Linked DNA regions of Styela clava. The protein of the gene in region 1 purifies or fractionates together with the protein of each later gene. This does not show direct contact. Links are inferred from orthologs where the notes say so. Each region holds a gene or a part of one and is shown in the gene's direction. Other genes may lie near its edges.

The links. The genes of interacting proteins can lie anywhere in the genome.
Region 2: the proteins of uncharacterized protein LOC120345352 (region 1) and unconventional myosin-VI-like purify together in Drosophila melanogaster (affinity purification with western blotting; 3 studies listed by BioGRID, with this or other methods). This does not show direct contact. The link is inferred for Styela clava from reciprocal best matches to the Drosophila melanogaster genes CLIP-190 and jar.

Annotation. Positions count from the first base shown.
Region 1 is NC_135257.1:14,317,148-14,325,112, reverse strand, and holds the start of uncharacterized protein LOC120345352, read left to right. Parts: upstream 1-4,874; 5' UTR 4,875-5,071; coding exon 5,072-5,135; intron 5,136-6,864; coding exon 6,865-6,933; intron 6,934-7,517; coding exon 7,518-7,666; intron 7,667-7,965. UniProt on the Drosophila melanogaster protein: Together CLIP-190 and jar may coordinate the interaction between the actin and microtubule cytoskeleton. May link endocytic vesicles to microtubules. May play a role in formation of furrows during cellularization.
Region 2 is NC_135259.1:12,111,391-12,119,842, reverse strand, and holds the start of unconventional myosin-VI-like, read left to right. Parts: upstream 1-5,025; 5' UTR 5,026-5,136; coding exon 5,137-5,253; intron 5,254-5,397; coding exon 5,398-5,541; intron 5,542-6,433; coding exon 6,434-6,563; intron 6,564-8,452. Other genes in the region: uncharacterized protein LOC144411613, read right to left, coding at 1,417-1,547, 1,636-1,823, 1,965-2,008. UniProt on the Drosophila melanogaster protein: Myosin is a protein that binds to actin and has ATPase activity that is activated by actin. Together CLIP-190 and jar may coordinate the interaction between the actin and microtubule cytoskeleton.

The DNA of each region.
Region 1 (7,965 bases):
GCGTCGATGACCATGTCGGGGAAACTCTGTCTGACGTATTGTGAGTTTCGAAAGTGGGTAACGTCAACGCAACGAACGCCATGTCATTATGACTCCATTGAAGCATAAAAAGACGAATTTACATTGTGCAGATATGAACTGATCTTTCAAAATGATGAATATAATATATTCTCTAGTTTAAAAATATTTTTCTGGTAATATTTATTACATTCTTGGTAAAAAAAACGATGCTATCTCAGCTGAATTCAAACTTCGACGAATTAACACAAAAGATCTGAGAAAAAAACATGTTAGTTCAACTTCTAATAAAACAATGTGAATTGGCAGCGGTTTATTTTCAACATATCTTCAACTAGTTCTGTGAGAGCTGGTCTCATTTTAGGTGATTAATTTTGCTTTTTCTAATTCAAGACCTCTATTTGCTGTCTGTTTTGATAATGAAGCCGTTACCGGCTACCCCAATGGCGTGTAATTGGCGTATTTAGAACTCCTTTGTTTCATGACATACGTAAACACAACAGTGCAGTTGCAGTATATTCGCATATTCGTAGTGTTGTTTGGAATTCTACAGTTAAGCCATCGTTTTTTCCACACTTGCACAGATATGATTACTATTCTTTTTGTCTGACAAACATCGAGAACATGTGTCTCCATATTATTGAAGTTTCATTATCTTTTATCCACCTGGGAATTCGTTCGCATATATTGTCTATTCATTTCAATTCTGATTAAATATACATAGCATGATATATTTGCCTGAAATGCAGATTGTACAATGCTATTGGTTGACCGTTCCTGGAAAAAATTTATTTAGTCGTAACTTATTTGGAAGTATTCCGGTAGCAATCGTATATTAAATATCCATGACGTCAAAGGAGTCAATGCGCCCACACGACGTAAAAGAGTTGTGTACTTTGAATTGTCTTCGAATATTTGCATCGAAATATTCAGGATAACATGTTTGTTGGCTTACTCAGCGAACGCCTTAGAAGGGAGTTTTGGCGACGGTTGGGAGAAAATACCATTTTGAACGACTATGTTACGGCTTGTTGGCTCCGTCCACTTGTCGTAAATATGAACTTTGAACATGCAATTATCATAATAACATAAACAAAAGGCACCCAGTCTATTGCACTGTATTTTAAAAAAAAAATTGTCGAAATAATGCCGTCATGTAAATTAAATAACAAGGATCATGTTAGGGTATATTGAACTTATTTCACAAGGGTTGGGTTTCAGAGCGAACCGTACAAAATCATCGTGACTAAATTAGTACATATGTATGCAAATAATGACACATGTACAGTGGCGACTCAGGAAAATATATTGAAAGATTGTGTCAGTACCCGCGTCACATAATGAGGTATTAGGGATAATTCTACGAACTGAACTAAATATAACGCAATAAATAAAATTCACTATTTGAAAAGCCAATCCATGATTTGAGTTATCTCTATCAATTGATTTCATAAAACGCGGTTCTTTTTATATATAGTATGCATACAACGGCAGAAGTGTCGTCACAATGTTTAGGATGAAACAATACAATAATGTTTACACACCTGACCAAACCCGGAATCTTCTGCGTTTAAAAAGTTTGAAAAGGGGAAACAAATATAAGCTGAAAATCTAAATAAGAGACACATACAATAAACACTTTAATAACATACGCAAAGTAAGGAGTCATTATCGAAGTCTTCGAAGTTTTTGTACGGAGTGAAATGTACTCGTCGACGTATGTTTATTTTCTTCCTTCTTCATTTATGATTGCCGCTTTTAACCTATTTTTATGCTATTTTTGGAGGCTGGTTAGCTTTTTAACATGCCCCGAATTGCCCTCGTTGACGTATCTGCTTTGTGGATGTATTTTTTGCGGACTCTTGTTCTTCACCTCCATTTTCACACTCTCTTTTGCGGTTCGTTGCTTTGTCCCTGTTTGTTCCCTGTTTCTATTTTCCTCTCCACTGCCTTTTTCTTTTTCTGCCTTTAGTTCACTTTGGCCAGTCCCCTTATGGCGCACCATCACCACCTTCGGATCTGACGGGCCCTTTTCTCTCGCACTCATGTCTACTCCCAACTCACAATCTCTACACAAAATGTCTCACTATACCACTCGTTCTAACCATGTGGGATTCGAACCCTGGCTTGATCTATTACCACACTTACGCGCTTTCACCGCGCCACTATTGTCATCGAAAATAAGTGAGACTAAATCTTACTTAATTGGCAGATAATTACCAACGTCACACCACCCATTGACGAGACCAAGTATTGACCATGTTCCTGCCGTTAAAATCGTTGAATGTTTGTGCAAATAATGTGATATCCCGGTTTCAGTCGAGGTTTCCAAAATTGTGTATTCTTTGGTATAGAAACTATTCTCTGAATGAGTTTTTTCTTGTTTAATTTTGAATGCTTTGTTACACATACTTTTACGCTAACCAGTCATTTACCGCCAAAATGCTGTTATAATGCTAAGATCATGCTGTTATGTTCTTGACAGATCGGTGACCGACGAAGTGCACATGATCTTGCTTTGAGCAAATATTCATTAAAAGACTATTAGAAAATGTATACAGAAGAATATGAACACTAAATTATCTACTAATGAATGCTTCACGATGGACGCTAATTGATATAATTCAGTTACTTGCTCGCTTGCAAAATTTAAATCCAATCTGATGGGGCAAAAATGAAAATGGTGATTCACAAAATTTGTTTGTGAAAATAGCCGAAAAAGATGAGATAGTGTCGATGAAAAAAAAGCTGAAATAATCTAAGAACAAAGAGCATTCATTTACATGAATTTCAGAAGAAACATGTTGCAAAATTTCCTGCACCTGATGCAGCATCGCTAATTTAACTTTGTTTGGAATTTGGATTTTTTGAAAATGTAAATTCCAAAATTTTGTCCAACCGTTATCCACTTTGTTTTTTTACTTTCTTTTACAGTGGAAACTCTACCTACACAATTAATTTGTTTCGGAAGCCTCTCCATAAGTAGAAAGTGGGGACGCATTTTATCTGTAAATTCCCTAATCCATTCCAAGCTGTCACAAAACTCGTACTCGGACTCGGACATGATATTCGTATGAATTATAATAATGATTAAAAGCCGTAACAAATACACGTCAGAATAAGTTTACTGCTTAATGAATGAAAAAGGTACATAGGAAAAGAAGAGAGGGCAGAGAAATACCGAATAAAAACTACGGACGGTATGTTTGTTTACCTTTGGCGTTGGCCGACTGGGCTAGGCTAAGCGGAAGCCGTGGCCAGTAGGAGGACGGCGGTTGGACGAGGTGAGAAAAGGCAGTAAAAGTTGACAATGTTCGAAAATGAGCACACACACAAGAAATTCAAAATTCGAATCTTTTGTTTTGGTTTTTCGTTTCTTTTTATTTTTTTCATCTTTTCAACTTTTAATTATTTCACCATTTATTTTCTTTTGTTTCAACTGTTACGTGTATAATCGTCTTATCAGTGAATTTCGCTAGCAACTGAAACTGATTGAGATACATTGTAATACGTACGTACCTGCGGAAACAAACGTGGCAATAAGATGACAACTAGTTGCTGTGCGGTCTTCAGGGCAGCTACCGCGGGCTTTAATTTTTATTGTGGTGACGAAACCACTCGTTGATTCAGAAAAACACAAATGTTTTTACGTGATCATCGTCATAATCAAATGAGTGAACCCGATTCTCATCCGCCAATAATGGAGAATTGAGATTGTTTGAGTCGGCGCTGATTCAACTATTTCATGTCGGCTGTTATGATTTTATTTTTTGTTTCCCCGACGCCGGGACAACGATGAAATCTGCGATTGAGAATAAATATATTAAAGTGCTTTTTTATACGCTCTAAAATGCAAGAAATGGAAAAATCTGCGTTTGATAAGATTACGATAAAATATGAAATATTTGTAAAATGTTATATCAAAACGTTGACGGGTGGCCCTGGAAAATTTGGGCCATATTCGTTATTCTTATAAACACAAAAAACAATATTCGGAAGTCGCGATATTCGAATATAAAATACGAATTGGACATGCCTGCATTAAATTGATCTAAAACAAGCAAATATCACTACACGCGTTTTTTTTATTTTCGGATTTCGGCCTTTTGTATGTAGAAAATTTTACGTCTATAAGGCTCTAAGCAATATTTTTAGGATGATAATTTTCGTAAGTTGGATTTTTCGTATCCAAAGCCTTTCCTAGGTAGAGTTCCCACTGTATTTATACCGTGAATGCTCGTTTTAACGCCCGGTCTTGATTAATTAAGGGCCCGTTTGAATAGCCGCCCGTGTGAACAGGAAATAAAAATATATAAGGGCCGGTGCTTGAATACCCGCCCGGTGTAAAAGTTTTTTTTTTTTTGCGGATTTGTACCTGCGGTGCGTAGAAAAAGTCAAAATTTTCATTATTCTCGTTTAAATCATACTTGAGAACTGGAAATGACAATATACGGTATTAATTATTGTAACGATCGATCTTATCTACCGGTATTTTTGTGTGTAATTTTACTTTAAAAATAACAAGCGCCCCTGCTTGAATAAGGGCCGGTTTGAATGCCGGGTTAGTGAGTATGTTTAAAAAAATAAGCGCCCGGGCTATTAAACGAGCAAATACGGTATATTAAGGAGGGTAACATATAATAATATATATATTCAGCCAAGACCAAAATAGATTAGTATAAATTAATATACCTCTGTTTTAATTCTTATTATATTTTATGCTCAGCATATTTTCATCGAATTATTTATAAATTTATTGTCCGATAGCGCCAACTGCCGGATAGCTGTATGATAATTATTTATCCGCGATAAGGTGCACTAATTATGTACTATTCTTGAAAGCAATGTCACAACAAGTCTGTCGTCACTGTTGCTGGACTACCAAGTTTTCCTCATTTAGTTTACAAGTTCTTTAGTTCTGGTGCACAAATGAAATCTGTTGTCTAAATAATCGAATGAAAATTTATTGAGTGGATTATTTCGTTATTTTTCACAATTAATTGAAGGGAACGTACTTCTGCATGAATCGAAATTGAAAAACTGAAGGACAGAGATGGCTGAGAAACCATCTGGATTGAAGCAACCCAGTAAAATAACGAAAGGAATTCCAAAGCCGAGTATGTTGTTTTTGTAGATTTATTTGTTATTTATTTACAGGTTGAATAGTTTATGCCAATTTAAAAAATTTGAACATTCCTGCATTCATATCGCCCTCACAGCAAACTAAACAAATTCCAAGAATTTCCCTCCATTTGGCTCTATAAAACAAACACTCTCTGTGTCTCACAAACGAGGGGCGTCTGGGACCACGTCAGATGTGTCATATCACACCATGCTTGTCTCAATAATAACCCAAGTTAATCGTGGCCCTCACATGACCAAAATTGCCGTTTTTTGCTATAAACTCTTGAATGCTATGGTAAAAAATTTTTCCTTCCGGTAAATCGGATTATTTTATTCCAAGGAATTCAATGATGACGTTACTAGATTGCGCTTTTTTGTAGTATTTTGCGTAACTTCATTAGACTGTATTATTACTGAAATTGAGGGACAACAATGTCCAGACGTCTCCCAATAGAGGGGTGTCTGATCATCTGTAAAATGGGTTTGTCTGAACAGCACACTATACAAATGGGGTGACATTGTCCCGTTTCAGAGAAACCCATTTTATGTAAAATGAAGTGTGGAACAATATAGAAGGGGGCTAGTTCACTAAATGCCGTCAAGTATGGTACTTCTAGTTGGCGTGGCATAACCATTTTTGCACAGGTGGTTTCTAACCCCCACCTGACTATGTCATACGAATCGAATTTTAGTCATTTGGGGGTCGACGCATGTCACGATTGATTCGAATTATTATCAAGAAAAGCATGGCACTTCCCAATGCATCTGCCATTGTGCCAGACGCCCTTGCTTTCACGACAAATTGAGTGTTTGTTTTTGGACACGTTTAGTGGCCATAACGATGGTTTCAATATTATGTTGTTGTTCTTGTTCTTTGACATGTTTTTAAAAAATCGCTTTTCTCTTCGAATACTGGACCAATTGCTTTGAAATTTTCAGTGGTTAAAGATTAATTTCTTCGCTAGAAGGCTATTACTTTTATTTATTTCAAAATTTTGCGTGCATTCTATGAAATTTGATATTTCGTCTAAAATTTTGCTGTATTATTTTTTATCCATGGGAACACGGATTTTAGTCAGTGTCATGACTGGCTGTACGTTTTGATTCTGCAAAATTCTTGCTACTGGAAATTTAGAACTTTTTTGAGGGTACCGGTAGCGTCAAAGGTACCGGTAAAGACTGATTCGCTCTGGTCTAACGTGTCCATATATTTGTGCGTAGCACTCTTGTATTCAATCAAATGTCGGGAAATATTGAAATCGGGGAACTGTGCCTTGGTCTGATTTGAGTAAGAAATTTGGGTGCTCCCGAAGTATGCGAACCAAGATGGCGGACATCGGATCGTAACATGGGTAACAGGTTAGGGTTAGGCGATAATTTTTTTCCAATTTTCCCTAATTTAGTCCTATTATCAGTTCGAAGACTAGCCAAGAGCCTCCCGTAGTATTTATACCTAAAATTATGGCCTAACCCCTAACCTAGTACACATATTACGTTCCGATGTCCGCCATCTTGGTTCGCATACTTCGGGAGCCCCGAAATTTGTGTATATCTAAAAATTACATTTATTATCAAGATGTTGACATTTTAAATACCTTATTCATATATAGGCCCCACTAGGAATTGACTGTCTACCGCAGCTGCTTTTGGCTTTAACTATAACCTGACTATTTAATGAAAAAATGTTTTAATTTCAATTTTATATTTTTCTGTGTATATCAGGCGGAATCAGGCCTCCTAAAGCAACTTCATCAGCGGGTGGAGGATCTGTAGGAAGTAGTTTTGTAGTAGGTATGATGATTGATTATGATGTTATTTTACTATTTTGTGAAAAGCTTTTTCCAGAACCATTCTTATATCCCTAGCCAACGGCCACCACACTCTTGAGTCTAATGTCAAAGCGAATAACTGCAGTTCATAGTAGCCTAATTATTTTTAAATGCATACAATAACTGTTTGTATTAGTCAGGCAATGCTCATTTACAATTTCCACTTTTCAACTTTGGCTTATAATATAATTTTGTAAATTTTCTCAAGGATTTTAGTTTATGGATGTTTTAAACAGTGGAATTTTACTTTTCACCATTTGGCTTTTACTAAAGTTGATTTAAAATCCTTTTTAGTGTGCATCTTACAGTTTCATATAATTTTATTTCCAGTATGGGGAATCATTTTTTTTCCTAAAAGTTGTCAAGTCAAGATGCATTAAATTATGTAAATAATACTCATGTCATGGAATACAATCTTAATGAATTCAAGAAATATAGAGAGTTTGGGGGAGTCCTGCGACTTTGCAGAATTATACTGAAATGTTAATAACTTAAATTTGTGTTAAATTATTCTTTTTATCTCTGAAATTTTTCTTTCAAATTCAGGTACAAGAGTTTTGGTAAGCGGTACCAAATCAGGTGTCATAAAATTTCTTGGCCCAACACAGTTTGCTCCTGGTGATTGGGCAGGTGTTGTGTTGGATAAAGAGGAAGGAAAAAATGATGGAACTGTAGCTGGTGTCAAATATTTTGAGGTGAATAAGTGCTTGTTTCATGTGCTTATTAATGTCAGAAGTGTGTTGACTATGCAGTCATGTTATTATTGTCAAATGTATCACACAAAAACACATTTTCATTCATAGAAATGATAGTCCTTCATTGTTAAGCTGAATTCTCTTGACTAGATATAACTGCAATAAATAAAAAAAAGTTATTGTGGATTCAGGATTGTATACTTTATTATCTGTCACTTGTCTTGTGCCTGATTGTGAGCAATAAAAAAGATTTTCTCATCAAATTTTTTTTTCACTACCGCAATATATAAAAAAAGGTT
Region 2 (8,452 bases), on another chromosome or scaffold:
ATGTTGTTGTTAAATGTCCTAGCAATGCTGGATCGTTGTATTACAATTACAAAAAAACGCATAGCATTGTGCTCCTGGCTATTGTTGATGCATGGTAAATATTAAACCTGATTTTGTATCACACTAATTTGTATTCATAGGTAAACAATTTTTGTAACTTACCACTTGTGGTTGCTTTCTATGAATGGCTAAATAAATTAGAAACCAATTATTTCCCAATATTATGTGGATTATACATGGGCATTTATTCCAAACAGTGCCATCAAGAATTCAATGAAATTCATATTTTTCAGTTATAAATTTCTTGCGGTGGACATTGGCGCCTATGGCAGAGCAAGCGATGGGGGAATATTTGCGAACTCATGTTTTGGCCGTCGCTGCAGAATGGAACCTTGAGTCTACCCTCACCAAGGTGGGTTATTTAAGCTAGTAGTCCACCTAGACTTGAAAATGACTGCTGATGTTTTTTTCTATAACGAAACAGGCTATGATTTTTCTTTACACCTAAGTAATAAAGGCTTATTATTTTAACAACTTAGTAATAACCCATAAAAATGAAGCATGTTTATGCAGAAAAACCTCCTACCTAAACCTCATTTTGTATTTCTGGCTAAATAGGGCAAATTTATTTTCAGGCCATTGCCAGTAACGGATGGACCTACTGTTCCGTTCGTATTCATTGGGGATGAAGCCTTTCCCTTGAAAGAAAATCTGATGAGACCATTTCCTGGCAATGGTCTCTCGCAGGAGAAAAGAATCTTTAATTATCGCCTATCGCGGGCAAGAAGAATGGTAGAGAGCACATTTGGCATCTTAGCTAATCAGTGGAGAGTCTATCACAGACCAATACCATTGAAGCCCAGCAATATCGACTCTGTCATAAAGGCAACATGCTGCCTACACAATTTTTTGAGAAGAGATGTTGCTGGGGCTGCACCAGTTGACGATAATATTACAGTGTCCACTCAACTGCTGCATGACATACCCGGGAGTGGTGGCCGTGCAACACAGCGCACAATCTGTTCGCAACACCTTTGCCAACTACTTTGCAGGGGAAGGTGCTGTGCCCTGGCAATGGCACCATTGCTGATCTTTTAACAATTTTATAGATGATTACTGAACTGCAGAGGTATTACAAATCTGATATGCTAGTATATTTGGTACTCCCTAAGGATGTGAACCAAGATGGACACCTGAACCTGGTATGTTTACCAGGTTAGGTTTAGGCCATAATTTATTCCAATTTTCCTTATTTTAGTTCGGGGACTAGACAAGCGACTCCCTTAGTATTTGTACCTGAAAATTTTGCCTAAACCTAACCTGGTAGACATACTAAGTTCGGTGTCTGCCATCTTCGTTCACATACTTCAGGATTACCATATAATCAATAATTGAAAACAATGTGTTCCAAGTAAATTATATTTCCCCAAATTCGATGTTGTACAGAAGCTCGTGAATTTTAATTTTCGCAAGTTGCAAACGTTGTACTGGTAGCCTGCGTAGAGTATCTACGAGGCTCAATGCAAATTTTTCAGCATCATCACTCTCTGTATGTAAATAAAGGTATGATTATTAGATTGGAAATCATTTGTGTGACACAAATATGCCTCATGGAAAGGTTTTAGAATTAAATACCTTTGTTGACAAGACTCATGATAGTTTCGTCAAGATCAGTCGCTTTTGTAAGTGCATCTTTATCAGATGCTGATGTAGTGCAACTGGTGTTCATATTAGGTAAGTTGTCAGCTTCACCACTCATTTGGACATTATTTCCATCTTGGAGCACCACAAGAGTGACATCCTCGTCAATATTTGAAGACGTTCTTTGGAAAAGAGTAAGTTACATGGTCATAGTTTGGGGTTCCGAGATCTGGAGTAGTCAGTCAGTCATTTGCGACCGTTGATACTGTGGGGTAGGGATTAGAAATATTATTGCGTTTGTTACGAAAGCAAATAATACTTACGTTCGAAAGTCGACGTGCTCGTCTAGGAACTTTAGCACCTCCATGCTCTATATCCCCCTGCTGCTGCCCCACTCCTCGTAGCCTCTGATTCCCTTCTTTTCTCTTTCCTATACCTATACTTTGTAGATCTCCATCTGGTCTTACAATCTGTCACTGAAAAGCAATTAACTTTGAAGTTTATTCTGTTATCTTGCATTTACTTAATTTCTTCCTAATTGGTTTTAGATGCAATATAGTAACAGATAACTATTCTAGGCTCATACTCATTTTCTTACCACTTCTTCCCAACGCCTCTGCGACCTCTTCCCACGCCTTTCCCTTTTTAATTGTATCCCTGTAGGCTGCTTCTTTTTCAGCGTAAAGACACTTCCTTTCTCTGACCTCAACTATGAGATGTTCTAAGTCCATACCTGCCATACCGATATCTAATCAATCTGTATAAAAATCATTGTACATTTTTCATTGTTTTGAAAATAATAACTATCATTGATATACAACGGCATTATACAATCGCCAAAACGTCTCAAATTTATATCCAAACAACAGCTGTCTTACCTACTCTGCTCTTAAACACAATGCCTATCAAGTTCCTGATCCAAAATACGGGCACCCGGAATATGACCTTTTGACATGCGTCAACGCAACGCAGTGTGAACAAGTTCAGCGCATTGCGTTGCATCTGCGTCAAAATATAACGCAACGCACTGCGTTGGTGTGAATGGGCCCTAACACGTAAACAAACATGATTGTAAACAAATGTCTAAAACTATATAAACACAAAGAATTCATTTCGGTCGCCACAACATTTAAATTCATTCGGTATATATAGTACTGTATATGTGTGAAAAAGGCCTAGCTTGAGTTTTATGTTTTGATTCCACTGCCTTTTCAGTCTTGTTTTTTAATGAGCCAATCTTGTTCGACTGGGAGCTAGACATCACTCAAAAACTTGTTATGATTAGATCAGATGGCTTTGATTAGGTCACCAGTATTTATAATGCTAATATAAAAATTATGCTGCACCATGTCGCCATTCCATGTAGCTAAAACTGGTTAGTACGTAAGTGAAGTTTCCCATAATATGTAGTATTCTTTACGTGTGCTCACGTTTCCATGGCAAATTTCACTACTGTATATGTTTCCATCAAAGGGTGACTGACCTAAATAAATTGCGGCTAAGCCGGGCTAAGGCATATAACACATTGAACATCCACCAATGTGTTGATGAATTCCCCGTCACCAACTATCAATGTACCGATATCTATCTCATGATTGCTACAATTCAGGAAGGTAAAGGAAGCCGTGTCGGTAACCGTCAAATGGTGGTATAAACCAATTTGCGGGTACTAGAGGAGTTTAGTAGGGACACTCCGAGGCATAAACCATTTCACGGTGACTAGGGGAGTTTAGGATCCCTCATTGACACCGAAAAAAGAATATGTAGCCAATTTATGGTCACATCGCATGGTCCGGGTCGACACCAAAGGCGCCGCACAAATATTGTTTTAGACGTCGGTACCAATCAAAGTGACTAAAACGTAAGCAATTTGGTGCCAATTACTTAATGCGAACTTTAATAAGGTAGTTCCCAAATAAACGCCGGTACGGTACTGTCGTTTCTGAGCGAAAACTTGAGGTGCGAAATATTACGCTATCAATATTAAACCGTGGTAGATTTCAAAAACAACAGTGAAATGAATAGACTAGATACGAGTCACATTGTATCTGGTATTGGTACCGGTATTGATGTATTGCAAAGTTCTGTAGTGGTAGTAAAACTAATTCTCTTTTGGCTGTTTGGTCAGTCAGTTGGTAGTCTGAAATTGCAGAATTGGGATTTAGTCATGAACTGAGAATATTTTTTTTCTTTATTCAGTTATTATATACACAAATTCAAAATGGAGAATTATGGAGAGCGGAAAAACCTTTAAAAAGTTTAAAACATGAGAGATATCATGTGCCCGCCCACCAGCACACACACAAAAATAAATTACAAAAAACACAAACCTAGTAAAAACGAGGCTTGGGCCAGAAATAATCATACAAAAGATACTCGAATGTATTGAACTTCCGGTCCAGCGGTTTGTTATACTTTTTGAACACCTGGCATCAACATGACCTTTTATGCAGTTTGAGGTAATGCTCAGCATTACTAGGTTTACATACAGACATACAGAAGTCTATAAATTTGAGTCTGGTCACTATTACACCAAAGTCAGAAAGTCACCCCAGCCTACATATGCTCAACCTGCGCTCAACAGTTCTGCAGTTTAACCAACTATTTTCCTATATTTTATTCGCTTTAAAACGATATTCCATAAAAACTTTGTTGCTCAAATAATATATAGACCAGGTGATACATCCCACACAAACAGACAAATGCAAAATCAGGTCTGCAGGTACACCGAGTATGGCCTAACAAAAACAAGTGTGGGCTGGCCTTCTACAGTTCTAGCAATGTTAGACGACAAAATTACAGTACTGCAGTAGTAGTCTGAGTTGAATCGATCACTTCAGCACTAGTTAAATCTAACAGCCGTTAGTTGATGTCAAGTTATTTTATTGAGTTGAGTGTAGTCACTTTGATAAAAAAGTAACCCAAGTACAATTAGAGTTATCTGTCAAGTCCATAACTCAAGCTTCATAGCTTCAAGACTCGGCCTCATAGTTTATAATTATCGAGGCGAGTGATTCACTTTTTATTCTCAGTATGGTATACATAGCCGAAGACGTTTGGTTCCACAGAAGTGTTTGTGGCCCACTAAGTTAAAAGAACGCTTAAGACTTTTTGCTGGAGAACCAGTTTGATTCACTCTTTCACTTATCAATATATTTTTCTATTCTTTTCTTTTGTATAATGTAATTCCAATTAGGATTCAATTAAATTTTTTGCCCGTGTTTTTTGTTTACAATGATGTCATTTTTAAGATCGTTTAACCAGCTAACTGCCCACACTCAATAAATTATTCAAAAAGATACATTTCTAATTGAAATCAGAGCTTGAATTCAGTTTTACGAGTAGTTTTACACTCAAATTGCATGAAAATTTTGTTATTTTTGTCAAGGAATTTAACCTAATTGTTAAGTTAATTACCATTTGTTCATGTAGCTTGTGTACCAATGATCTTTTGATAGCTTGTTACAACCTGAACTCAGGAATCAGGACGCAACGATGGATAGCGGGAAAGTTGTTTGGGCTCCGCACCCTGAACATGGATTCATGCTGGGAACCATCACTGATATTGGTCACAGCACAATTACAGTTCAACCATTTTCGAAAAATGAAAAGGTATTTTCATTTTTCCAGATTTTTGCGTTTTATTATTTATTTCATTGAGACATAGTAAAAGTGGATTTTTTAGTATTGGATCCAATAACTTGTCAGAAAACGAAGAATTTAACCTGAATTTTAATGATTGTCATTGTTTTTCAGCCCACGTCTGCCCCTTACAGCCAAGTGTTTCCATCTGAACCAGACAATAATAAAGAGATGGATGACAATTGTGCTCTCATGTACCTCAATGAAGCTACTCTTCTCCACAACCTGAGAGTGAGATACAAAAAGGATAAAATTTATGTAAGTCTTGATATAACTTATTTGGTAGGATTATAAATATTTAAAAGAAAATGATTTTCGTAATGTGATACGGAAACTAATCTAGATTTTTATTAACTTGAGTATAAACAAGGTTGGGGAATCTCGAGGTTGACATGTTTTTATTGGTTGATATTATTTTATTTTTCTTCAAAATTTCAAGTCAATACAAAATTTTTGTCAACCCGGGTCCTGAACCCCATATCCCTGACCATCGGAATAAAACTCTGCTCGGCGGTGTGGTTCATCATGCTAAGCATTGGGAATACGCTCGCCACCGGCGCACTGCACCTCTGATCATCCTGCGTGTGTTTGCAGGTTCGAATCCCTTGTGGGGATAGTTATGTGCAAGAGGATTGCAGGACCCCTCACTGCCTCCACCATCAAGGCCATGTTTCCAAATACCTGGCTAACTAAGACCAAACACGAATTTTAGGAATAGGATTTAGATATTTATCCCGGGGGATACAAAAGCCGATAAGACAGACGGCTTATCCATATGGCGAACCACGGCCTCTCGTCCGGTTACCATTCCAAGTCGGGTATGGGATTAGTTATATTGTTATTTTTCGGAAGCATGGACTTGGAGGTGGTGGAGGAAGCCGTAACCGACCAGCGGTTACATGAACATGAAGGCGAGGAGTCCAGCAATCCTCTCGCACATAACCATCCCTGCATGGCATTCGAACCTGCGAACCCACGCAGAGTAATTAAAGGTGCGGGGGCGAGCATATTCCTAACGCTTGGCCCGTTGAGCCAGACCGCCACGCCAGTTAGTATTCAGTCAGTTCAGTTAGTATTTCCTAATTGTTTGTTGGGGACTCTTGATTTTGCTTTGTCCAAACTTATATAAAATGTATCTTGTTTTGTTCAGACTTATGTAGCTAACATCTTGATTGCTGTGAATCCCTACAAAGAAATTAAGAAGATGTATGATGCTGATTCCATAAAAAATTACAGGGGAAAATCTCTGGGAGTGATGCCACCTCACTGTTATGCAATAGGCAAGTACAGTTATAAAGTCTTTTCATGAATACGTAGGATTTCTGCCACCACTTGTTTATCTTCCAGCATTATTAATGATATTTGGTTTGATTTATTTATGATATTTCAAAATACTTTGGCACGTTTTTCAACGTTTAAAAGCAAAGGGAGTTTAACACTGTTAATTGCGTTTTCATGGTTTTGAAGGTTTAATTTGAAACTGATTATTTTCACCATTCTGAATAAGAAATATTATTTGATTATCTGAATAGTTGCTGTCCGTATACATTGGACAAGCAGCCCCCTTTTTTGGAAGTATCAGAATCTTCACATCCCATTCGATATTGCTAACCCAATTTATTCGTTTTGGATGGTGTAGTATGTACGGGGTTTTATTTGACATGTGAATGTGAGTCCAGGGATGTCCAAAACGAATCGAATGTCCGATTGCATTCAAATTTCATTTTATTCAATATAAAAAAAATTTGAATTTGGGAATTTAGAATCTTTACTGTATATTTGAAAATTAGAGATAATGGACTGCCAAACAAGCAGATTAAAAAGATTCTATATTTATGTTGTTTTAAATATGATCGAATGAAGAAATACCGGTATTGATTTATGTAATTTTCCACGTAAACTCGCCCCCAAATTAGAATGTACTCGGTATTCCATAATCAAGACTATTTTCTCAGAATGTATTCTGAATTGTAAAATTTTCGGTTTTGGCCATCCCTGTATGACACCAATATAGTTAGGATAGTCATAACACAATAACCACAGACCATTACAATTGTATAACTGTTTCATAGAAAAATATAGCTGCTCGTATTTCTAAGATGTGACAGAAGTACAAGCAAATTATGATTTTCCATTATTCAACTTCCCAGAGGAGTTAACACCGCCCTTTTTTGAGCCAACACGTCTTTTATGTCAATTTTATTACTTAGCGTGTCGGTGAATTTTGAATTTGATAGCTAGTTTGATTGTTTAAACCGGGTTATAATAGTGTTTACTCTTGTTGTAACTGGTTATTACTTATTATTTTCACCAATTCATTGTTTGTTTTGCTTCGGTATTATACTGAGCTGGAATGTATTGAAAGGATTATATTGTAATTTTTTCATATTCATCATAGTTGAAGATATAATAAACTACCTGTCTATTGGCTATTGCGTTTCTTTGGTAATATGCAGCTTGATAATTTATTTGCCAAAAATTGATATGAAAAAATACTGGTATATCCGATACCTGGGGTTTACTATGGGTATAATTTATTATCTTTTTTTTGTGGTAATTGACATCTGAATTTTCGGAAGTTATTTGAGGTATTCATCAAATCAAATTTAAATTTGAAATTATCAAAAAAAAATTTAATAAAAAATTACTCATGAGAAATGTTTTCAACTGATGTTATAAAACTTTCACAACACTGCCTAATTTATGAATAATAGCAATCTTCAAAATGCTCCAACACCGCTACTGATCGACTAATTTTTTGTAATATAAATAAAATCAAATATGATGGGTGTGTCCAACTTTTTATAAAAAATCAGGAATGGAAAAATAATTTATTGTAAAGAATTTTAAAAATTGATATCGAAAGATTATTATTTTTATTCTCTATTGATTTCTTCATTCTATAAATTTGAATGTTTACATTCATTTATGCAGAGTAAAGATATTTCTAAAATAGCAATTTTGTTGTATGAACTATAGACATTTAAGTGACGTAATTTTGTGTGTATTGATTAAACACACATACCTACCGGGTGGGATGGTACGTGTATCTCTGTCTATTTAAGTTTATGATTGACTATATAATTCGTATCACAAATTTCTGGAGAACTTAGTTTAATCGAAATATAATTTAGACACACCTGTTTAAAAATATTTTTAAAGTTCAAAA